3 linked regions of the Stegostoma tigrinum genome follow. The main gene of each other region encodes a partner of the protein of the gene in region 2 in a complex. Links are inferred from orthologs where the notes say so. Each region holds a gene or a part of one and is shown on either strand. Other genes may lie near its edges.

What was found.
Region 1: the proteins of kcnab2a (region 2) and potassium voltage-gated channel subfamily A member 1 are in contact, whole or in part, in a crystal structure (PDB 1EXB), measured with the Rattus norvegicus proteins. The link is inferred for Stegostoma tigrinum from reciprocal best matches to the Homo sapiens genes KCNAB2 and KCNA1. Residues at the interface, in NP_059000.1 of Rattus norvegicus: Met196, Tyr199, Ser200, Arg203, Glu231, Lys235, Ile236; in NP_775118.1 of Rattus norvegicus: Glu37, Met70, Phe73, Asp74, Pro75, Leu76, Asn78, Tyr80.
Region 3: the proteins of kcnab2a (region 2) and potassium voltage-gated channel subfamily A member 2-like are in contact, whole or in part, in a crystal structure (PDB 5WIE), measured with the Rattus norvegicus proteins. The link is inferred for Stegostoma tigrinum from reciprocal best matches to the Homo sapiens genes KCNAB2 and KCNA2. Residues at the interface, in NP_059000.1 of Rattus norvegicus: Met193, Met196, Tyr199, Ser200, Arg203, Glu231, His234, Lys235, Ile236; in NP_037102.1 of Rattus norvegicus: Asp28, Glu33, Pro62, Met66, Phe69, Asp70, Pro71, Leu72, Arg73, Asn74, Tyr76.

Annotation. Positions count from the first base shown.
Region 1 is NC_081378.1:39,907,882-39,916,321, reverse strand, and holds the start of potassium voltage-gated channel subfamily A member 1, read right to left. Parts: upstream 3,295-8,440; 5' UTR 2,445-3,294; intron 2,029-2,444; 5' UTR 1,666-2,028; coding exon 193-1,665; 3' UTR 1-192. UniProt on the Homo sapiens protein: Voltage-gated potassium channel that mediates transmembrane potassium transport in excitable membranes, primarily in the brain and the central nervous system, but also in the kidney.
Region 2 is NC_081381.1:25,935,941-25,943,485, reverse strand, and holds the start of kcnab2a (voltage-gated potassium channel subunit beta-2), read left to right. Parts: upstream 1-4,443; 5' UTR 4,444-4,539; intron 4,540-7,545.
Region 3 is NC_081374.1:48,650,151-48,658,344, reverse strand, and holds the start of potassium voltage-gated channel subfamily A member 2-like, read left to right. Parts: upstream 1-4,910; 5' UTR 4,911-5,025; intron 5,026-8,194. UniProt on the Homo sapiens protein: Voltage-gated potassium channel that mediates transmembrane potassium transport in excitable membranes, primarily in the brain and the central nervous system, but also in the cardiovascular system.

The sequences.
Region 1 (8,440 bases), on a different chromosome or scaffold from region 2:
TTACCCAGTTGGGAGAAAGAAAGCCATTTAAAAATAAATGAAATTATACCTTCCACGTAATTCTGAAAGCTTATTTTGCTGAGCATAACGGCAATGCCACAACGCATTAACGAGGTCAACAAGGCAAAATACAAAGGGTCAGTAACAGTGTCTAGAAAGCGAGGCTCCCGGGGTCACTGAGCCCGCAGCTGTTTAAACATCAGTTAGCAGTTTGCTTTTGTTCACACAGTTTTGGTTTGCTATAGTGCAGTTGCCAGTTCTGAGATTTGCTTCTCTGAAATTGTCTATGCTGTTGTTCACATCTTCCTCGATCTCCATGTAATCGGACTTGCTGATGGTGGACGAGCTGCGGCTTCGTAAGTCACTGTCCGAGGCGATGTTCGGGCAGCTAACGTGCAGGTACTGAGCCTGCTCCTCTCCCTCCGTCTCCCGGTGATAGAAGTAGTTGAAGTTGGAGACGATGACGGGCACGGGCAGGGCGATGGTCAGGACGCCGGCGATGGCGCACAACGACCCCACGATCTTGCCGCCGATGGTGATGGGGTACATGTCCCCGTAGCCCACCGTGGTCATGGAGACCACCGCCCACCAGAAGGAATCCGGGATGCTGTTGAAGTGAGAGTCCGGGTCGTCCGCCTCGGCGAAGAACACGGCGCTGGAGAAGAGGATGACCCCGATGAAGAGGAAGAAGATGAGCAGGCCCAGCTCCCTCATGCTGGCCTTGAGGGTCTGGCCCAGGATCTGCAGGCCCTTGGAGTGGCGGGAGAGCTTGAAGATGCGGAAGACCCGCACCAGGCGGATGACCCTGAGGATGGCCAGGGACGTGGCCTGCTCGCCGCTCACATTACCCTCCTCCTCCTCGGCCAGCTCAGTGCCCAGCGTGATGAAGTACGGGATGATGGCCACAATGTCGATGAAGTTCATGATGTTCTTGAAGAACTCTGTCTTGCTGGGGCAGGCGAAGAAGCGGACCAGGAGCTCGAAGGAGAACCAGATGATGCACAGGGTCTCTACGATGAAGAAGGGGTCGTTGAGGATGTTGGATTTGTACGGGATGGTGGTGTTGCCCACTTGCATGGTCCTCTTTCTGTCGTCCTTGAGCTGGGGCAGAGTTTCCAGGCAGAAGATGACGATGGAGATGAGGATGACCATGACCGAGACAATGGCGATGCCCCGGGCAGGCCCGGAGCTCTCCGGATGCTCGAAGAGAAGCCAGACCTGTCGTTGGTACTCATTCTCGGGCAGGGGCCTCTCCTCCTCCCGAATGAAGCCCTCGTCCTCGCGGAACTTCTCCATCGCCTCCTCGCCCAGCTCGTAGAACTTGATCTCCTCGGAGAACATCTCGAGGGGTACATTGACCGGTCTCCGGAGGCGTCCCCCGGATTGGTAATAGTACAGGATGGCGTCGAAGCTGGGCCGGTTGCGGTCGAAGAAATACTCGTTCCGCAGGGGGTCGAAGTAGCGCATCCTCTTCTTGGGGTTGCCCAGCAGGGTGTTGGGGAACTGGGCCAGGGTCTTCAGCTGGGTCTCGAAGCGCAGGCCCGAGATATTGATGACCACCCGCTCGCAGCACTCATGGTCATCGTTGTCCGGAGGGTAGCTGTCCTGAGGGTGGCCGGGCAAAGCCGACGCTTCGTCCATGTTGTCTCCTGCCAGCACTGTCATTCTTGGCGGGAAAGGGGGCCTTTCAGGAGGGAGAGGGGTGAGGGAAGGGGGCCGATCGAGGGGCTTCCGAATCACTGGCTCTCAGTCTCCCCACCCCCGGGAGGACATTCGGAGGCTGAGTTGGTGGGGAGATCTTCAACCGGGGTTGGTGGGTGGGTGAGGGAGGGAGGAGGACTAGATGGAAGGTGGGATGGGGTTTGAAGGGCTCCGGGCCACTAAAGGACAACTCGGGGCTTTCGAGCCGACTCGAGCATCTCAGGGCTCGGCGTTTCCACACGGATCCAAACTAATCTCGGGCAACTCAGGCCAACTGCCGTGCCGCTGTCTGGCCCACGCCCACCTTTTTGTTTCGGGACCAAGGTGCTGCGGAACACAAAGGTTAGCATCAAACAACATAAAGCTCTATGCAAACGGGAGGGGTTGGGGCGGTTAACAAAAGCAGAATAAAAGTTCAGGGTTGAAACTTGATGGGCGGGGGGGGGGGGGGATGCTGTGTGTGTGTGTTTGTGTGGAGGGGGGGGGGTGGTGTTGATGAAAACAGCCCCTGTCCCCTCCCGACGGTGAGTGCGGCTCGTGCACTGCGTTGGGTCCTACATCATCCCAGGCACACACTCTGTGTACACCTAAAGCAGTTCTCGGCTAAAATCCAGCTGCGGTACTAGGATAAGGAGGACTGGGCACTACAACTACCACGAGGTTGGGGAGCGAGGGGAAATCTAGGAGCAAAGTGAAAGAAAAATCATAACAATAATCTACAAAAAAGAAACAGCCAGCCTTACCTGCTGAATGAAGGAGGACAGAATGAAGAGTGCAGGAATGCGGCCCGGCTCTCCGAGCGATGCAAAGCCCTTCCTCCTGCGTACTCCTGCCTCCTTAATATAGATATCGCTTTACAGCGTTGTGTGTATGAGATCTGCTGAAATATTAATAGCCTATATTATACTGTACTGACACCATTTACAAGTCATTTGTTCCTGACGACTGTTACATCGGACCGGCGGCTACGTAAAATATAACGGGCTGCTATTTTAAATACACCACCAGTTAAAGAGAGAGAAAAACACAAACTATGCACATGGACTTCATGACAGGTAGCGGGAAAGCAATCTTCTGGTACATCCTGGCGTCTTGCTCGAGGATCATGTGGTGCAGAGTAGAAGACTAAATGCATTAAAAGTCAAACGAGCTGGACATCCCTTAGCATTGCAGTATCATCAAAAATAAGAGAGGTGCTTCATGGAGTGTAGTAGGCAAGGAAACCGTTCTCCGGACAGCAACGTTAACAGCTGCAGCGCAAGCAGCTCCCACATTGCAGACAAAACAGCCGCTTCCTATTGTTTTTGTTTTTTTAATAAAAATAATAGAAGCTCTGTTAATTCTCAAATAACAAATCGAGACATTTTAGACGCAGTGCAGGCAGTCCCGGTAAGATCCTCATTGCACACGACGCCGTGCACACTCGCAAAAAAAAATCCGCATCATAAACATCAAAACTGCTGCATCATTTGGTTAGATTTTACGACAATGTTCCTTTGACTGCAGCACACTGTGGCAAACCTCCGAATACAATCACTGCAGTTTGCCAGTTCGGCCCCGCAGGTACAGCGTTACTGCTCCTGGAGAAACGAGGACCCCTAGACTGTACCAACATGTACATATATATAAACACCGCCGCACAAGAGCTCTCATCAATTGTAAACAGTTGCAGGCATACACTGTGCTTCAATACTTAACAGACCAATGCCGCACCCTTTAGTTTGCAAGGATAGAAAATCATCTGATCCCATCACTCATTATTTTAAAACTATAACAATTTTATGTCCTGGACATCATGTTGATAACTTGCACAGCGCACTGATCGTATTAAGTATTGATAACTCAAGAAATATTCATTTGATGCAGGATGTTACAATTAAACAAGGCACCCACTTCCCGTTTATCTTATGGTCCCACAATTTCACCCAAACTTTAAAAAACACTACAGCTTCGCGCTGACAAAGGTAAACAGCAGTTTGCCGCGTTTTGCTGGCCTCCCGTTTTAGGAAGCACAAAACGATTATCTGCATAAACCTCAAATGGTTTTGGAAATCGATCGAAGCTGAGAACATCCTGACAATTACCAGAGAAAGGATCGCCACTGCTCTCAAGATAGTTAATGTTCTGAGTTATGTAATGTGCCTCTTGCCAAGTCACGTTAGCAGAAGGCACTGTGCACGGTCCCGTTTTGTTCCGCGTCGGTATTCTCAACCTCGAGCAACACACATCACATCTGTTTAATTTGATTATTCGCCACATAGCACCATTTACCTGCAAATTTGTTCTCACCGCTGATAAAAGCTATGAACTGTGGAGAAACAAATGGGAAATAGTTGTTGTAACTCGGGATACGAATTTGATGGTCAGCCGTGGCGTGTTGTTGTGCAGTGAGTTTATATGGACATATTCTGCTAACTCCAAATATTCCCAACAGGGAGGTCAAAATTATACACTACCAGGGCCACATGCCCAAGGGGCTTTGGCCCAAACGTGGTGAGACTCAGGTTGTCAATCTTCCACATTGTCCTGGAGACCCCAGGTACTACAGAGAGAGGAAAGAAAATCACCGAACACTGCTGTCTATATTCCTGGAGAAACATCGTGGGGACATTGAAAGCGTATTTCCCTTTGAACATATTATCATAACATATCTATAGTGATCCAAAACATAGCTTTGCCAGTCCCAATATCATCTCTCCTTACCTTGCATAATCATTCTATCTGTATGTAATCTCTCCTGCCATTCATCAGAACTAGGAGCCGGAGTGGGTAATTCAGCCCAACAAGCCTTCTCTGTCATTCAATACAATCTTGATTGATATCAGCTCGGCATCATTTCCTCTTTCTTGCCTGCTCACCATAACTCTTTAACCCAATACTAAATAGTCATCTGTATGTTGCCTGCTTAATTTTACTCAATGTCCCAGCATCCACCACGCTTTTGGGTTACTGAGCTCCACAAATTCATGACCCTTTGAGGGAAATAATTTCTCCTCAACTCTTTTAAATCTGCTAGCCATTATCCTCAAACTATGAACTCTAATTGCCCCACATGAGGAAACATCTTTTCTAAATTTACTTTGTAAATCCCCTTTAGCATCTTATATACCTCAGTTCGATCTCCTCCCATGCTTCTAAACTCCAGAAACTGTAGGCCTAAAATGTTCAATCTCTCTTCACAAGACAAACGCCTTATGTGGGTAACTTTTTACTCTGAAATTATGCCTTCTGGTTCTAAACCCTCCTAACAAGGGGAAATAATTTCGCACATCTCTTCTGTCAAGCCTCCTAAGAATCTTACATGTTTCAATAAACTACAATGATTACAAGCTCAATTTACTCAACTTCTCAAAATTAAAAATCCCTCTATATCCAGAATCAACCTAGTGAAACTTTGCTGGATTGCCTCCAATGAATGGATGTCTTTCCTAAACAAGGGGATCAAAACTGTTCACAATGCTATATGTGATCTGACTGTACCTTGTATATGTTAACAAGACCTCCCTAATTTATACCCCATTCCATTTCAAATAAAGGTCAACAGCCCATTTGTCTTGCTATAAACCACTAAATTTGGACATCAGCTTTTCATGCACAAAGACCCCTAAATTCCCTTGTACTGATCTTTCTGCAGTCTTGTTCCATTTAAATAAAAGCTTTTCTCATTTTCCCACCAAAATGCATAACCTCCCATTCTTCCATGGTATATTCCATCTGCCATATTTTGTCCACTCATATAACGTCTCTGTAGACTGTGTCATCCTCAATATTTGCCTTCCCACCTATTTCTGTGTCATCCACAAACTTAATGATGATATATTCACTTCCTGCTTCCAAGTTGTTTACATGTACTGCAAATATTTGTAGCCCCAGTACTGATCTCAGTGACTTTCCACTACTTACAGATTACCATCCTGAAAATGTTATCTGTATCTCAATACTGTCTTCTATTTGTTAGCCAAGCATCTATTCATGGTAATGCACTCACCCCAAAAGTCATGATCTCTTAACTTATTAGGTAACTTTAAATGTGGTACATTTTTCAAATCCTTTTCAAAATCACAACACATTACATCCAGTAGTTCACCTTTATTCAGCTGCTTGTAACCGCTCAAAGAACTGTAATAAATTTGTCAGGTATGATATCCCCTTCACAAAGCTGTGTTGACTCTGCTTGATTATATTGTGTAAAAGTACTCCATTTTGAAATATATCATTTGCAATAAATTAACATTTTCCAGCCAAAGATATTAAGCTAACAAGCCTATAATTACCTGTTTTCTGCCTCTTTCCATTTTTGATTAACGGTGTTACATTGTCATTTTCCAATCCTCTTGTCCTTTTCCAGAATCTAAGTATTTTTGGAATTTTACTCGCAATGAATCTACCCGCTGTGTACCACTTACTTTAAAATCTTAGGATATAACTCTAAGATCCAGAGGACTTATTAGCCTTTCATACCATTAGTTTCCCTTGTACTGTTCTCTATTGATAGTTATTGTGTTTATTTATCCTACCCACATTGTCTCTTGAGTGTTTAGGATTTATGGAATATTACTAATGTTTTCTACATCATAATATTTATTTTGTGATTGGCGTTCAACCACCTTTCCTGCTAAACTCCTTTTGCAATCTACTCCAACCATTTCTGCCCTCATGCCTATGTATTTACCCATATTAAAGTTTAGCACAGTTGCTTCTGACCCATGTTGCTCATTCTCCAACTGAATTCAAAATTGCACCATGTTATTGTCACTGTCCATAGGGGATCTGTTACTCAGATCATTTACTAAACCTACCTCAATGCATATCACCACATCCAAAATAGGCTGATCCCTGGTTGGAATGACAACATATTGTCTGAGGAAACTGTCCTGAATACACTCTTATGAATTCTTCCTTGTGGCTACCTTTGCCAATTTGATTTTACCAACCTATATGAAAATTAAAGTCAGCCATGATTTATACTGCCCTTTTTTAAATTGGCCCCATTATTTCCTGATTTATTCTCTGGCTGACAGAACAGCTACTTTAGGGGATCTACAGCCTATTTCAACCAGTTATGTATGATTATATGTGATTGACAACTTGTGAGCATTGTCTATCTTGAAGCAGTTAAGACAAATAGTTTTTATATCCTTCGTTCTAGTTTTACATTCAGTAAATTTGACCAAGGCATGTTAAAATAATCAACTGGTCAAAAGTTCTGTTATATCTTTTCATAATCAAATAAATAAAAGAAAGCTGTCATCTTGTATTTTCCAGAATGTAAACAGTCTGTTGAGACCAGCAACTTGTAAACCTTGACCATACATGGTCCAGAGAAGCCAGATAAAATAGACAGATCTAAACAGCCTGTAACCAATCGATCAGAGCAAAACTCTGGAGTTTTAATACATCCAATTGTGAATGGTAGCAGGCAATTAAGAACATAATGGGAGGTGTCTCCATGAACATCTCAATCATCAATGATTGCAGATCTCAGCATGCTCATGCAAAAGTCAAGGTTACGATGCTCACAACCAAGTTCACCTAGAAATTGAGTGAATGATTAGCCTCCACCTAAGGTCCCCACCATCACAGATGGAGGCCTATGGCCAATTTGATTCACCTGTCTGACCTATTATAAATGGACAAATTGTTTGTGCTTGTATGTGAGAGGCATGTTTTTATGGAGCTCTTCTAGAGTTTTCTGATATGGGGTATGATAAACCAAACTGGTTGTCATGACCTCCAAGTTGATAAAGCTCATTAAAAATTCAGCTATGATAATCCTCCAAATAAAGGGACAGCAAAAACCACCTAGGTAAAGACTGTACTGGTGTTTTCTAAAGGGGAGAATGAAACATCAAACTGATCAACATGATTTCCTACATTCATTGGGCCAATGAAAATTTAACTAACATAAACTCCCAAATAAGAAGAATTTCCTTTGTATTAATTTCTGAGTATTACATGAGTCACTATTGTACACTACTGCATTTGAAACAGTGCCAAGTACAAGAATGATTTTGCTGAGGAAAAATCGGACAATTTTGAAATTCTTGAAGTGCAAAAAGCTGACAAAGGAGAGCATCATTTGTTTTTCTCAATTGAAGTCTCGTTTCAGTCCACATTTGAAGGAAATGCAGCACAGTTGAAGTCTTCTTCCAGATAGCCATCAAGAAAGTTTAAGAAGGTGGAGGATTATCTGTGATAACCTGCAACTGTACAGCATTGCTGCTGCTGCAAAAATCTGATCTTTCTGTTCTAGGTGTGAGTAGCCTATACTTCACTGTGGCCATCATGAGACCAGCTTTCAGTGGAGCATCCTTGGATACTGATCCCAGGAAATGATCATCCCACAATGTGATCCCTGACACCCTTCTAATCAGCTATGCTAAGCTCCCTTCAATATAAAAATCAACATCATAACTTTGGTCCAATGGGATAGTGTTAAGAAACAGTTGAGCACAGTTCATATAACTCATTATGCAATAGATCAGAAATAGTGGAGAACCAAGGACATACTGTAATGATTTAGACGAAGAAAGATATTAATATTTAAAAACCAATGGAGAAATTAATCGGATTAAAATCTGCCAAATCTCTTGATCTAGATGGCTTAAATGCCAGGTATTAAAGAGAGGCAATTGCAGAATTAATGGATGCATTCGTCTTGAACTTCAGAATTCCCTAGATTCTAGAATGAACTCTGTGGATTAGAAGATTGTAAATGTAGAACAACTCTTCAAGAAAG
Region 2 (7,545 bases):
ATCCTCTATCATGCTAATATTCTGCCTCTAACACCATGGGCTCTTAAGTTTATTGAGTAAGTTAACTTGTAGCACCTTACCAAACATGTGCTGGAATTCCTAATTTATTACATCCGTGGGTTCTCCTTTATCCTCAAAGAATTCTAATAAATTTGCCAGGCATGATTTTCTCTTCATTGAGCTGTGCTAATGCTGCTTGGTTACATTATGTATTTTTGTGGTATGCTATTGCATCCTTCAAAATATACGGTAATGTTTTCCCAATAACAAATATTAAATCAATTGGCCTTTTTTTGTTTTCATCCCTTTGTTGCAATAACAGATTTAAAATCCTTTGGCACTTTTCCAGGATGTAAAGGTTCTTGGGAAAATCACTACTAGTACAACCTCTATCTCTGAAGCTATTTTGTTCAATATCCTAGAATGCACCACATCAAGGAGACACTTCTTTAGCCCCATTAGTTTTCCCCTACTTATCTTTATGGATAGTTATTCAATTTATTTCTTCTCCCTTTTTGGACCCCCTGGTTTCTCCACTATTATTTCCCCTGCTTTATTTTCTGAGGGGCCTATTTTCACCTTGGGTTCTCTTTCTTTTTATGTATTTAAAGAAGCTGTTTCTGTGAGTCTTGATATAACTTGCAAGTTTATCTTTAAGTTTGTTTTCTCTCTCTTCATTTTTGGTTTGTCTTTGTTGGTTTTTAAAATCTCCCAAACCCCTGGCTTACCACTAGTCTTTTTCCCCATTGTACTTTTTTTTTCATTTTGATGTCATTCTTCACTTGTCCTGTTAATCACAGTTGGTTTATTCCCAAACTAGAATCTTCCTTTTTTCACTACGATACATCTTTGTTGTAAGCCAGGGTCCATTTTCTTAAAGTCTACTATCATTTCTGACCTACCTTTGCTGCTAAACTCCTTTCAAAGTCCACTCCAGCTAGCTCTGCCCTCATTCCTTTGAAATTAGCTTTATTTCATTTTAGCACAATTGTTTCCAACCCAAGTCACTCACTCTCAAACTGAATACTAAATTCTATCATGTTATGGTTGTTATTTTCTAAGGGATCTTTTATTATGACATCATTTATGAATCTTGCCTCCTTATACCAGATCCAAAATGGCCTGAGCCCGAGCTGGATCCACACGTTCTAGGAAACTGTCTTGTATGTATCCTATGAATTCTTCCTTTAGGCTACTTCTACCAATCTGACTTTCCTAATCTACATGAAGATTAAAATCTCCGATGATTGACAACGTGCCTTTTTCCTTATACATGCCTTTGTTATTTTCTGATTTATTTTCTGTCCTACCATGTAACTCCTGTTAGGAGACCTGGAGTCTAAGACTCATTCCTACCAGTGTTGTCCTGTCCTTGTTATTTCTTATCTCTACTCATGGATTTTATATATTCCAGTCCAGAATTTTTCTTTTCTTATTGTATTTATTCCACCCAAAATAACAAAGTTACCCCATCATCCTGTCCATCCTTACGGATAGTAGAAACTGCCGATGCTGGAGTCTGAGATAACAACGTGTGGAGCTGGAGGAACACAGCAGGCCAGGCAGCATCAGAAGAGCAGGAAAGCTGACGTTTCGGGTGTTTGATGCTGCCTGGCCTGCTGTGTTCTTCCAGCTCCACGCCTTGTTACTGCTGTCCTTCCTGCCTGCTCTTTCAACAAGTCGGGCACTCCTGAATAGTTAGTTGCAGCTTTGATCTCCTTGTAACAGTATGTTCCTAATGACTATAAAATTATATCTATTAACCTCTATGCTGTTCGTTAATTTACATTGTTTTTTTGTTCCAACTTCTATGTAGATTCAAAGTAAAGAGCTTTTTTGCTTAGTTTTTTTTAAACTATTCTTCCACCAACCCCCTCCCACACTCCTACCTTTTTAGCCTATTTACTGCTGTTTTTGTATTGTTGTACACACTTACTCTTCCTGCCCCACTTTGGATATTATGCTGTGTACCTTTAAGAGGAAATTAATCTGTCCTATTTTTCTTGGAGGTGGGGATGTAAATCTGGTGACGAGGTTTGTGCTCTATGGAATGCATAGTAAATAGTTTTGGGCTTTTTTTGGCTAGACAAAAGAAACATGAGTGGGTAGAATTAGGCTCACACAGACCCAGGATTTTTGTTTGCTTTCAGTTGTTGAAGTTGGGGTATTTGGAGTTGAAGCTGCTCAGTATCGTTCTTTTTCTACTGCTGCAAAATATTGAGTTCTGTCTCTGCTGCTAGATTCATTCATTTTATCTCCTGCACTAGAGAAAGCATGTGAGTGATTTTGCTTTTGCTAGGAGTGTGTAAATGTTTTGCTGGTATAGTGGAACAGTTGATGAGTAGAAGTTAAATAATATATTATTATGTCAAATATTTTGGTAGAGTTTAAGTTATGCCAATTCTTTCTTTGTCTGTATTTTAACTGTGGTGTAAGAATAAAGTGTCTTTTGCTTAAAGTCTAGTAGTTTGATCATTTGAAGCACATCTGCAGTGCAGCATCTTTTACTTCCCTTTAAGTAAGATTAATGTTGGGATCTGGGCTATCTCAGTGATATGTTTTTAAGGGGTTGGTCTGGTCCATAACAATAACCACCCTGTAAAGTTGCCATATCCTTTTTGATTTGTAACCCAAAGCTGTTTCCCCTTTCTCATATGCTTTCCTTACCCCCTTCTAATTGTTTCAGAGCCCTCACTCTAGACCTAGTTATTCAATCACCAGGATACTGGTCCCAGCATGGCTTAAGTGAAGCCTGTCCCAGTGGAACAGTTCTACCCCAGTGGACTTCAAGTAGAGAGATTTCATTTGGGAACACACGGATGTCAATAATGAAGGAAGGAAGAAAGGAATAGACTTGAGAAATGCAAATAGAATAAATAAACAGTTGTTCAAATGGGGACATGTATATCCACCTGCTGCATATTTTTGACTCAAATGTCACTAGATAACCAGTCCATCTAAGTTGTAACTGTCTCATCATGGTGTACATGCCAAGCATCCACAACTTGGATGATTACATGGATGCTTGTTTTTTTTTTGTCCTACCATCTTATCTTCAGAAGCTTCCAAAGGCTGTTTAAATGAAAATAGTTGACTTTCTTGGTGTGATGCTGGTACACAGATCAAATCTGTCATGGTTGGAGCTGAGTGAGCCAGGACCATTATTCTGTCAACTTGCAGTTTGGTAGGCAGACTTTTTGTTGAAATCTATACTTGCTTAAATAATTCTTACATGTGTCTTTTTGTCATTATAGGCAGCTTGGGTAACGTGAAATTGTTAAATTACATGAATTTATTCATTGCTGAAAGGTTCTGATCATGGAGTGAAATCTTGGGCTTGAATAGTGCTTTCTTGAAGAGTCTGGTGTATTACTTCAATTTGACTTTGTCCTAGCTTTAAGACCAGAGTAGACAAACCCTTAAGTTGCTAAGGTTAGTAAACCTGATCACTACCCTTGCCTGGTTTGGCTGAGCCATTGAATGCTTTACTAGTTATAACTGTGGTTGCATTGTGAACAATTATTTTGATCCTCAGGTGAGAACTAGGTGAAGACAAGTATAGGGTGAATCACCAAGAGGTAAGAGCCAATTCCTTTGAAGCAATTTGGGGCATTTTATTCCATTAAAGGTGCTATGTAAGTATCAGTTCCCTTGCTTTTGGTAGCGCTGGTATCAAAAGTATTACACAGTCACCAATTTGGATGCATATTGGTCCATTCATTTCTAGTAGGTTAGTGATCTTTCTATTTGTTGCATTACAATTAGGATTAGTACAAAGTTCAATTTTTAAGCTTCATTTAAAAATATCTTTTTATTGAAATTTCAGAACTTAATTTTATTTATTCCAATAATTATTTAGAAGAAAATTTTCAGACATTGGGGTGTCAATAGTGCTGCAGTAATGCAACTATCTCAATCCAGGAAATATAAACAGCTGTGGTGTGGTACATGTTTAAAAGGAGTTCATGCTTTAATTTTTTTAGTTCGAGCAGCTATCATATACAGCATAATTGTACAATAAACTTATAATTAGTAAAGAAGCAGTAAGGCATCTGTACATCAGAATATTCTAAAATAACCTCTGCTGAAATTATGTTTCTCGGAGATTGAACCAATTGCTCCATTTATCTTGGGGTTTAACACACTTTTAAACCAATCATTATTGTTCAGTTACGAAAATATATGCACTCTGCAAAAATTGATGAAAAGCCTGCACAGGTTCCTAGGTTCATTTAAGGTAGTGGTGGCTTTATCCCTTTTAAGCAGTAAACAATACTTCATCTGCTACAGTAAGCTTTTAGTGGAAGAGAATGCCCTAAATAATTTAACCACTATTTGCCAAGATGCAAGTACACTGATAAGAGCAAATGGGCTGCATCAGAAAACCACTTAGTCTATAGCAGGGGGAATGGATTTGGTACTTACTAATTGCTTTTGACAATAGAACGCCCCCTCCAAATATCAAAGTGCTGTCGTAGAGTCTTATAGATCTTAAAAGCCATTCCTGGTTTTTAAACAAGCAGCTACTCTGGCAGTTGGGTGAGTTTTGCTTTTAGTTTAGAAGAATAATATGTACAAACAGTAGTGATGCTGGAGTGTATCTTCCTGAATGGGTATGCATATAAACTTTTAGTTTTATTAATTTTTAAATTTAGCTTTTATCTGATGCCTTGGAGCATTTTTAAAAAATGGTAAACTTAAAACCAACAGATATGAAGGGAAGGGATTTATATAGTCTTTGTGTATAAACATGAAATGTAAATTTGGGGTATGAGATTGTCTATCGAAGTTTAAAATTTTTGAAATAAAAGCAGCTGCTGGAAAATATTGCTTTTTTGATAGGCATGATTTAGTATTGCATATTTTAATGAAATGGATTTTTATTTTAACAACTTAATTTTAATACTCTTTAAAATTATCTCTAGTAATATTAATAGGGAAAGCTGCACAATGGAATTTTAATTCTAGCTGCAATATGAACCTCCTCCCCCTTTGGCACAACTTTGGGGTCTTTCCTTTCTAGTTGTGCCTTTTTCAAGGAGAAGCATTATAGTAAGCAGCAGCAAAAGTTCAACTTAACCAAAGCGAAGAGTCATTCCCAGAGGTTTGGTAAAAATTGTTTTGCTGTATGCCTGCTATGAAACATTTTGCTTTGCTTTACTGTTTATTTCTTATCTTGCAACAGCAAAAAATTACACACCAATAGATTTTTATTTTGGATTGGAAAACGACAACATGCAAGAAATACTCAGTAATTTATATTTGTGTGTGGGGCTGTACCAAAGATGGCTGCAAATAATGACCATTCATTTTCAATACCAATTTCAAATCAAGAATAAAGCTTCATGGTACTGTTTTATGTACTGATTTCCTGATATCAGTAATCCCTGAAAATAGGACAAAAATGTAGAATTAAATTGATAAATTGAATGGACTTTGTCAATATTTTTAATCTTACAAAAGCAAATGTCGACATTTGGAATGGAGATGCCAGTTTTTACTGTAGTTACGCAATTATTGTATTAAGGTATATCCCAATTTAATGGGATTTGCCTATTTTAGATAGCTGCCTGCTGCTTTGCATCCAACTACAGTTTATTATATGGGGGAGAAAAAAGGGTACTTAGCCCTGTTAAATTTACACGACAGAGATTTGATTGCCCACCAGTGAATCATTATTAGCTTATAACTAAATTTTATGCTAAGCACAGAAGGAAACTGAGGCATTGTTACAAATAGAGTTCAAGGACTTTTGTAGATCACATTTATATTTGTTCCAGTTTTCAGTGCAACTGTCTGTTATTCTTTAACACAGATTAAGTTTTTGTGTCTTAAGAGATTTTTAACTTTGAAGCTATGATTCTTCGATATGTTTCTCAAGCTTAAAAGTAGATTATAGAGCTATTACATTGTTTTCTTTTCTCTCCGGTCCACAGTGTTTTCCCTGTCTATCCTTACTTCTCCAGATTCTGGTATTGCTCCTTTTGCCCTGTAATCATCATACTTGCTCAGACCTGCTATTCCACTATTGCATGCATCCAGAAACTTCCTCGCCTTTTATAATATAATATAATAAAAGTCATCTCTTCTTCCATCTTGCCTGAAAAGGCAGGGCATTTTGATTTGAATTGATGTTGAATTTACATCTGAACTTATAAATTACGCTTGTATTTAATCATCTCCTTGTTTTAATGTGTGTACTTCATGCTATAACAAAACATTTATTTTTCTGTACTTTAATTTTATTTGTATTTGTCATTTAGGTTCTATCCCTTTTTTCCAGCTTTGTTTAATTTGCATGTTTCCTTCATATGCTTTCCAGTATGTCATTAAGTGACAATTTGGCGCATGAGCCTTGCCACCTTCTGCAGCCCAGTTTCTGATTACAGCCTGGTAATGTCTTATCTAAGACCCATATGTTTTGTTGCTACTTCAGTTCAAACTAACATTGAATGTTAAAATATTTAATGGAAACTCGAACAAATCTGAATGCACCATCTGAATGTGTAATAAATAAGTATATGCGTTACAGTTTTTAAAAAAGAAAATATTTAATTCAGACCATGTCCAGGGCACACCAAAATGCCACCTTCAAAGATCAGTATTAGAAATATGGCATCTCTTTTTCAAATATTCTTCAAAAATATGTTGTTCAATACTACAAAAAATGTTATGAATAACCTAACAGTTAATTTTGGTTGTGGTTTTGGCATTTCTTACTTTCAGGCAAAATGCAAATATTAATTTATGACCATGATTACAAATTGTTAAATACACTAACCTCGTATAGCATTGTCTTTGAAAGCCAGTACAAGAGAAGTGAGGCTTTCTTGTATATTTATTAATACTGTGCATATAAACAATACATACATTTTAAAAAGTGTGAAACTTAACTGGTTATGGTGATGGATTGCTAAACCACAGTTCAAGAAAATTCTGTGTTTGATCCCATTTATGCTGGTTGTTTTTCAGCTTGTGTAATTATAAAGACCATATAATTGACCTCAGGAGAAAATTATTTGTTGTACCTGTTTCCGTTGTCCAGTGACTTACTTTCTAGTGATTCCCACTTTTGAGAAAAGGATTGAGTTTTACCGTGATGCCGCTCAATTTGAACTGCTTGCCTAATTCTACTGGAAAAGCTTAACCATGCTGGGTGGTTGAGCAAAGAAATGAAAAGCACCATGAGATTGTTACCCAGCAAAAGTTGGTATCTTTAAAGAAAATGATGGGAGAGTGAAGAACCTGCCTCAGAGGCTGGAAAGGAGTTTTGTTATGTTGTTCTCCGTGGGACTTGCCTAAATAAAAATTGTAAATATTTGAACCAATTTAAAAACTGGTATCTTAGAAGTACCTTTTTTGTAACGAGGCATAATATTTCTATGTTTTGATTATAAAAATGTTTCATTATAAATGCTAAAATATTTAATTAATTGACAAATGATCTTTTTTGTTAGCAGTGGTGCAAGGTTAAGTGAAGGCTTCCCCTTTCACAATTTATGGGCATGATCTTTCACATCGCGTTCAGTGGTGTATGCATGCCAC
Region 3 (8,194 bases), on a different chromosome or scaffold from region 2:
TGACGCTTCACCGGAGGCGCATGAACGATGTTACCTAGCAGGGTGATGAAACGTCTGCAACTAAACACACTGACTCAGTGAGCAAGTCTGCAGCCTCATTCACAACCTGAACTACAAATCTTCTCAAAAATATTTGTGGAGCCCCCTCCGCCAGTAAGTTGCTTCATCATTCACCACCATTCATGACTGGATGTGGCAGACCTGCAGAGATTAGATCTGATCTCTAGGTTGTCAGATTGCTTAGCTCTGTCCATCACTTGCTGCTTTTGCTGTATCACAAGCAGTCCTGTTTGGTGGCTTCACTGGGTTGACAATTCATCTTCAGGTATGCCTGGTGCTGCTCCTGGCATGTCTTCCTGCATTCTCCATTGAACCAGGATCAATCCCCTGGCTTAATGGTAATGGTTGAGCTGGGGATATGCCAGGCCATGAGGTTACAGGCTGTACTGGAGTACAGTTCTGCTGCCTTTGATGGTCCACAGCGCCTCAAGGATGCCCTGTCTTGAGTTGCTAGATCTGATCGTAGTCTGTCCCATTTAGGATGGTGATAGTGTCACACAACACGATGGAGGATGTTCTCAATGTGAAGGTGGAAATTTACTTTCACAAGGAGTGTGCGGAGGTCACGTATCTTACAGATACTGTCATGGACAGATGCATGTGCAGCTGGCAGATTGGTAAGGATGAGGTCAAATATGTTTTCCTCTCTGTTTTACTCACCAACTGCCATAGACCCAGTCTAGTAGCTATGTCTTTTAGGACCAGCTCAATCAGTATTACTGCTGTCGAGCCACTCTTGGTGGTGGACATTGAAATACCTCACACAGAGTACATTTTGTGCCCTTGTCATCCTCAGTGCTGCCTCTAAGTGTTGTTCAGCATGGAGGAGTACTGATTCATCAGTTGAGGAAGGATAGTACATGGTAATCAGCGGAGGTTTTCTTTGCCCATGTCTAATCTGAAGCCATGAGGTTTCATGGGGTCCAGAGTCCATGGTGAAGATTCCCAGAGCAACACCCTCCTAACTGAATACCACTGTCCCACCATTTTTACTGGGTATGTCCTGCTAGTGAGACAGAACATATCCAGGGATAGCGATGGTGCTGTCTGGGACATTGTCATACTCGTGGAATCATACCTCGAAGACAATGTCAGACTGTTGCTTGACTGGACTGTGAGACAACACTCCCAGGTTTGGCTCTAGATCCCAGATGTTACTGAGGAGGACTTTCAGGATCAACAGAGCTGTTTCTGCTGTCCTTTTTTCCAGTGCCAAGGTCGATGCCAGGTGATCAGTCTGACTTTTTAGAAATGTGTACAACTGAATAGCTTGCTAGGCCATTTCAGAGAGCAATTGAGAATCAACCACATTGCCATGGGTCTGGCATCACATGTAGGCCCGACCAGGTGTGGACAGCAGATTTTCTTCCCTGAAGTACCAGATGGGTATTTCCAACAATCAGCAATGATTTCATGGTCATCCGTAGATTGTTAAATCTAGATTTTTAAAAATTTAATTCAAATTCCACCATGGTATTCAAACCTGGGTCATCGGAACATTATCTGGGTCTCTGGATTAACGGTCTAGTGATAATACCATCAGCATTCCTTCACTGTTGCTGAGTCAAAATCCTGGAATTCACTCCCTAATGACACTGTGGGACAACCCACAGCAGGTGGACTACAGCGATTCAAGAAGGCAGCTGGCACCACCTTCTCAACAGCAACTGGTACGGGCAATAAATTCCAGCCAACCAGCGATGCCTACATTCCACAAAATGAAGAAATAAAAGAAAAATGTCCTTCAGGGAAGGCAACCTGCTATGTGTTTGGACATTTACAAGTCACTGGCCATTCTGGGAAGGCAGATAAGGTAGACACAAAGAGACAGAAAATGAAATGCAGGGGCGAAGTTGATTATTTTAATATGTCTACAAATCAACCAGAACATTGACAGAATCTCACAAACCCAGAAACTCCATTACCTAGAAGGACCAGTATTACACATTTACATGGACACAGACTTTTCCAAGTTACACACTGTCCTGACTTGTGTGACATTGAGGGCTGGATCAGCAGAAGTTTCCTCTATTTAAATATTAGGAGGACTGAAGACTAGGAAGACTAGGAAGACTGAAGCCATTGTCTTCAGTCCCTGCAACAAACTCCACTTCCTCACAATGACTCCATCCCTCTCACAGTCAACTATCCAAGGTTGAACCACACTATTCCACAGCTATGGTGAAATTTTCACCCCAAGATGAGCTTCCAAACATATATCATCACCAAGAAAGTCTATTTCTCACTCAGTAGCATCATCCAAGTCCACCCTAGTCTCAGCTCATCTGCTCCTAAAAACTCTCATCCATTCCTTTGTTACCTCTCAAGACTTAACTATTCTAAAACCCACCTGGCTAGGCTTCCACAATCAACCTCCCACTAATCTTGAGATCCTCAAAGACTCTGCTCCCAATGTGCTAACTCGTACCAAGTCTTGTTCACCTATCACCAATCCATGTTCACTAATCAGCAAAGGCTCCAGGTTAAAATGGGCCAACATTTTAAACCAAAATCTAAAACTGCTGGGAAAACTCAACAGGTCTGGCAGGATCATGGAGAGAAAACAGAGTTAATGTCTCAAGTGATCCTTCTTCAGAGCTCTGTTTCAGATCTCCAGCATCCACAGAACTTTGCTTCACCAAAATTTTAAAACCTCATTTCTGTCTGCTTTCCTTCTAGGTTGTGATTATCTGTATCTCTGTGACCTCCTCCAGGCACAAGGCCTTTCATATCTCTCCCCAAAAAGCAGTAGAGGCTATGTCATGAATGGGCAGCAGTAGAAATCACACGTAGAAACAGTCAATAGAAGTAAGAGTAAAACACAAAACATCATGAAAGTTAGATAACTGCAGAGAGGTGATCAGGGAGGAGAAAGGTTAAACAGAACAATGAATGGATATGGATTCAGGTCCACATAAGGGAGTCACACAAACTTGAGAGCCACAGAACCTCACTGATAAAATTACACAAAACTAAAAGCAAATGGTCAAAAATACTCACCTCTGCAACAATTTCATTTCTCAATTTGAAAATCTCCTCTAGGAACTTGTAAATGGAATGATAGCAGAAGCACTACATTCACAGCAAACTCTTACTGTTTAGGAAATTTGCAGCGAGCGGGTGACATCTCTGTGCAGCATCCTTAAACATCCTGTAAAAGAAGTTTACAAATTCAGTCAATGTGAGCCAGTGAGCATTCAGAAGAGACAAACATTTCTCTCAGTTTGAGTTTGAGTTTGTTGTGCGTATATCCATCCTTTCCAACTTTGGGAGGCACGGTGGCTCAGTGGTTAGCACTGCAGCCTCACAGCACCAGGGACCCGGGTTCGATTCCAGCCTCGGGCAACAGTCTGTGTGGAGTCTGCACATTCTCCCTGTGTCTGCATGGGTTCCTCCGGGTGCTCCGGTTTCCTCCCACAGTCCAAAGATGTGCAGGTTAGGTGGATTGGCCATGCTAAATTGCCCAAAGTGTTCAGGGGTGTGTGGGTTATAGGAGGATGGGTCTGGGAGGGATGCATCAAGGAGCAGTGTGGACTTGTTGGGCCAAAGGGCCTGTTTCCACGCTGTAGGTGATCTTAAAAAAAAACCCTTGGCAGCAGAGTTTATAACTATCACTGACAGAATAGGACAGAAATTCATATCATTCCCATCTCCTGGCCCAGGAATGACCATGCCTACTCTCTGCTGCACATTGCATTGAGGTCAGCAGTCTCTTGATTCAAGGACGACATCTACACTGGGTTGTTTCTGCCCTGGGTCTTCACGTCACTGAACAGAGCTTTTGGGCACATGGAGCAGGACATCCCGTGGGATGCAGAGATCAGGTTCTGCTTCCTTTTCTTTCCTTCTGCGCTGCTGCTCTGCCTCATGAATAAGACACTGGGTCTGAAAAGCAATTAAAGTTTTATAGGCAAAATGTCTTCATTCTGAACAAAGGGCAACAAAGTCCTCCTACTCATTCTAATGTTAATATCAGAGAGGTGGTCAGTGAGAAACCTTGAAAATTTGAACAGTATTGGATAGGGTAGGTGCAGGAAGGATGTTCCTGATGAAATAGGATACAGGGTAAAGCATTCAGGACAGAACTGAGGTAAACTTTCTTCACCCAGAGAGTGATAGCCTGTGAAGAAGTCCGCCCCCAACTCCAGGATGGATATCCAGCATGAGGCCCCGCCCCCATCCCAAAAAGGGTAGCCCCAGGCCACGGACCTGCCCAGCCGCCCTCGGCCCCGCCCCTACCACGATGCGTTGCTCCCACAACCCGCGGCTCCGCCCCCCCAGCCCCTGGAAGGAAACCCTAGTTTATGACCACGCCCATCAGCTCGTGGCTTCGCATCCCATCCCCTCGTCACTGGCTTTGCCTGCTCTTGGGGGCAGGTTAAAAATGGCATTCACCAAGCGGACCGTGAAGGGGGAAAACCTAGCGACTGCTGATTTTGCAGTTGTTTTCTTCTGTCTCTTTGTAACTTCCAGCTGGCTTCTCACGACCCTCTTGGAGATCTCAAGACCCAGTGACTTCACCCAAAGGTTGTATTTATTTATTGTCCTCGACGGCCCCAAACCAAACGGCAGCCGTTCACCTCAGCCAGTTTCCCCATGAAGGAAAAGCTCCACCGCTGAGCAGTCCCTGAAGATGAAATGTTTCCACACGGTGCCTACTGCCTCACTGTTCTTATCACTGCGCATGCTCCAGCACCGCGCTTGCGCACGGCTCTTCTGCAAAGCGGGTAGTTCGCCGCCGCACGGCTGTCTGGGTAATGACATCGCCATTCTGTCTCTTTCCATCCTGTTGTCTAGTCTCCCGGACAGCTGGTTTGAAATGCAGAATTATGGCAATAGTGTGGATTCAATCGCCGCTGAGGGTACCATTAAGCACTTTTCTTCTCAACCTCTCGCCTGGTCTGGGGCACGGTGACTCTCAAGTTAAACTATAACCAGTCATGTCTCTGAAGAGAGAGCAGCTCGGTAAGACTGTGGAACTTTACCTGGCTTTACACCTAACTGGGGTACCACACTGGAAATCATGCCTCCCTATTAATAGAATTGTTACAAAAGTTTTTGTAAAATCTGCAAAGTTCCCCAATTTACCTGACACTCAGACCCAGCTTGATTATAAAGATTGGTTTCTGTACTAGAAAAGAATCACTATTTATGCAAGCAATTAGACTGTAGCTACAGGTAAACAGTTATACACCATCGGCATACGATACTACTTATTAAATCTCTGATCCCTTATAAACCTGCCATTTACACACATAGGCAGACAGGATTAAATAAGCTATGGATAGAGTGGAAAGATTGGAAGACAGTCGTTGTTCCCAAGTTGTATTGTTAAAAATGATGATTATGATTCATTTGCTGGCCAGTACTTTGCTTCAGCCATGCTTGCTTTCTTTGATTTGTGAAAGATACAAGATGTTTCCTCATGGTAGTCCCATCCAGAAGATTATAACTTGTCTGCACAGATTTGCAATTGGCTTGCCCATAGTAAACAGAAGGTAGTGGTGGAAGGGGATTTTTCTGGCTGGAGGTCTGTGACTAGTGGTGTTCCATAGGAATCCATACTGGGACCTCTGCTGTTTATGATTAATGTAAATGATTTGGATGAAAATGTAAATGGATGTGTTAGTAGGTTTGCAGATGACACAGACATTGGGGAAATTGTGGATGGTGTAAAAGGTTGTCAAAGGGTACAGCTGGATATGGATCAGTTGCAGATATGGGCTGTGAAATGGCAGATGGAGTTTAATCCAGGCTGGTGAGATATTGCACTTTGGGAGATCAAATTTTAAAGAAAAATAATGGTTGCATTGATGAACATAGGGATCTTGAGGTCCTAATCCAAATCTCCTTGAAAATGGTCACACAAATGGATAAGGTGGTAAAGAAGACATATGGCTTGCTTGCCTTTGAGTACAAGAGTCAGGAGCTCCTGTTGCAGTTTTATAAAACTTTGGTTAGGCCACACTTCAAATATTGCTTTCAGTTCTGATCACCATGTTACAGGAAGAAAGTGGAGGCTTTGGAGAGGGTGCATAAGAGAATGCTACCTGAATTAGAGGGTATGATCTCTAAGGAGAGGCTGGACAAATTAGTGTTGTTTTCTCTGGAGTAGCTGAGACTGAGGGGAGACCTGAGAGAAGTTGGTAAAATTATGAAATGCGTAGATAGTATTGACGGTCAGAATCTTTTTTCCCCAGAGTTGAAAAGTTTTAATACGAGAGGGCATGCATTTAAGGTAAGAAAGTTAGAAGCGGAAGGTTATAAGGTAAGAGGGGGAAAGTTCAAAGGAGTTGTAAGGGGCAATTTTTTTTTAAACACACAGAATGGTAGGAATCCAGAAAGTGCTGCCACGGGTGATGGTGGGGGCCTTACGATTGGGACATTTAAGGGTCTTTCAGAAAAGCACATGAATAAGCAAGGAATGAAGGAATATAGACCACGGACAAGCAGAAGGGACAGATGGAATTTAACTCTGGTAAGTGTGAGGTGATGCACTTTGGAAGCAGTAACACAAGAGAGTACTCAATAAATGCAGGACCCTAGGAAGCTGAAAAGAACAGTGTGATCTTGGAGTGTGTCTACAAATCCCTGAAGATGGCAGAACAGGATAATGGGTTAGTTAAGAAGGCACCTAGGATACTCGCCTAGGATAATCATATTGGAGAAGTATAGGATTTTGGTTAGGGCACAGTTGGAGCAATCTGTGTAGCTCTAGCACCTTTTTACTATAGGAAAGATGTGATTGCACTCTAGGGGGTGGAGGGGGGATTCACCAGGATGTTGTTTGAACATAGAACATAGAAAAGTACAGCACAGCACAGGCACTTCGGCCCACGATGTTGTGTCATGGAATATTCCTAATCCAAAAATAAAATAACCTAACCTACATTCCCCTCAATTCACTGCTGTCCATGTGCATGTCCAGCAGTCGCTTAAATGTCAATAATGACTCCGCTTCCACGACTACCACTGGTAAACTATTCCATGTGCTCACAACTCTCTGAGTGAAGAACCTCCCTCTGACATCTCCTCCATACCTTCCTCCTAACACCTTAAAACTATGACCCCTCGTGGCAGTCAATCCTGCCCTGGGGAAAAGTCTGTCTATCGACTCTATCCATGCCTCTCATTACCTTGTACACCTCGATCAGGTCACCTCTCTTCCTTCTTCTCTCCAGAGAGAAAAGACCGAGCTCAGTCAACCTCTCCTCGTAAGACAAGCCCTCCAGTCCAGGCAGCATCCTGGTAAACCTCCTTTGCACCCTCTCCAAAGCCTCCACATCTTTCCTATAATAGGGCGACCAGAACTGGATACAATATTCCAAGTGTGGTCTCACCAGGGTTTTGTAGAGCTGCAGCATAACCTCCCAGCTCTTAAACTCAATCCCCCTGTTAATGAAAGCCAAAACACCATATGCTTTCTTAACAACCTTATTCACCAGGGTGGCAACTTTGACGGAGCTATGCACTTGAACACCAAGATCCCGCTGTTCCTCCACACTGCTGAGAATCCTGCCTTTAATCCTATATTCAGCATTTAAGTTCGACCTTCCAAAATGCATCACTTTGCATTTATCCAGGTTGAACTCCATCTGCCATTTCTCAACCCAGCTCTGCATTCTGTCAATGTCTCGCTGAAGCCTGCAATAGCCCTCGATACTATCAACGGCACCTCCAACCTTTGTGTCATCAGCAAACATACTAACCCACCCCTCAACCTCCTCATCCAAGTCATTTATAAAAACTACAAAGAGCAGAGGCCCAAGAACAGAGCCCTGCGGGACACCACTCAACATTGACCTCCAGGCAGAATAGTTACCATCTACAACCACTCTCTGCCTCCTGTCTGCCAACCAATTCTGAATCCAGACAGCCAAATCACCCTGTATCCCATACCTCCTGACTTTATGAATGAGTCTGCCGTGGGGAACCTTATCAAATGCCTTGCTGAAGTCCATGTTTGGGTTTGGGTTGGAACACTTCAGCTATGAAGCTCAGGTTGTTTTCTTTGGAGCAGCGAAGCTTGAGGTGGGGACCTGACCAAGGGCACAAAATTACAAAGGGCATGCACAGGTTGGAGAGAAGGCAACTGTCCCCCTTATTTGAAAGATCAATAACAAGGAAGTATCAT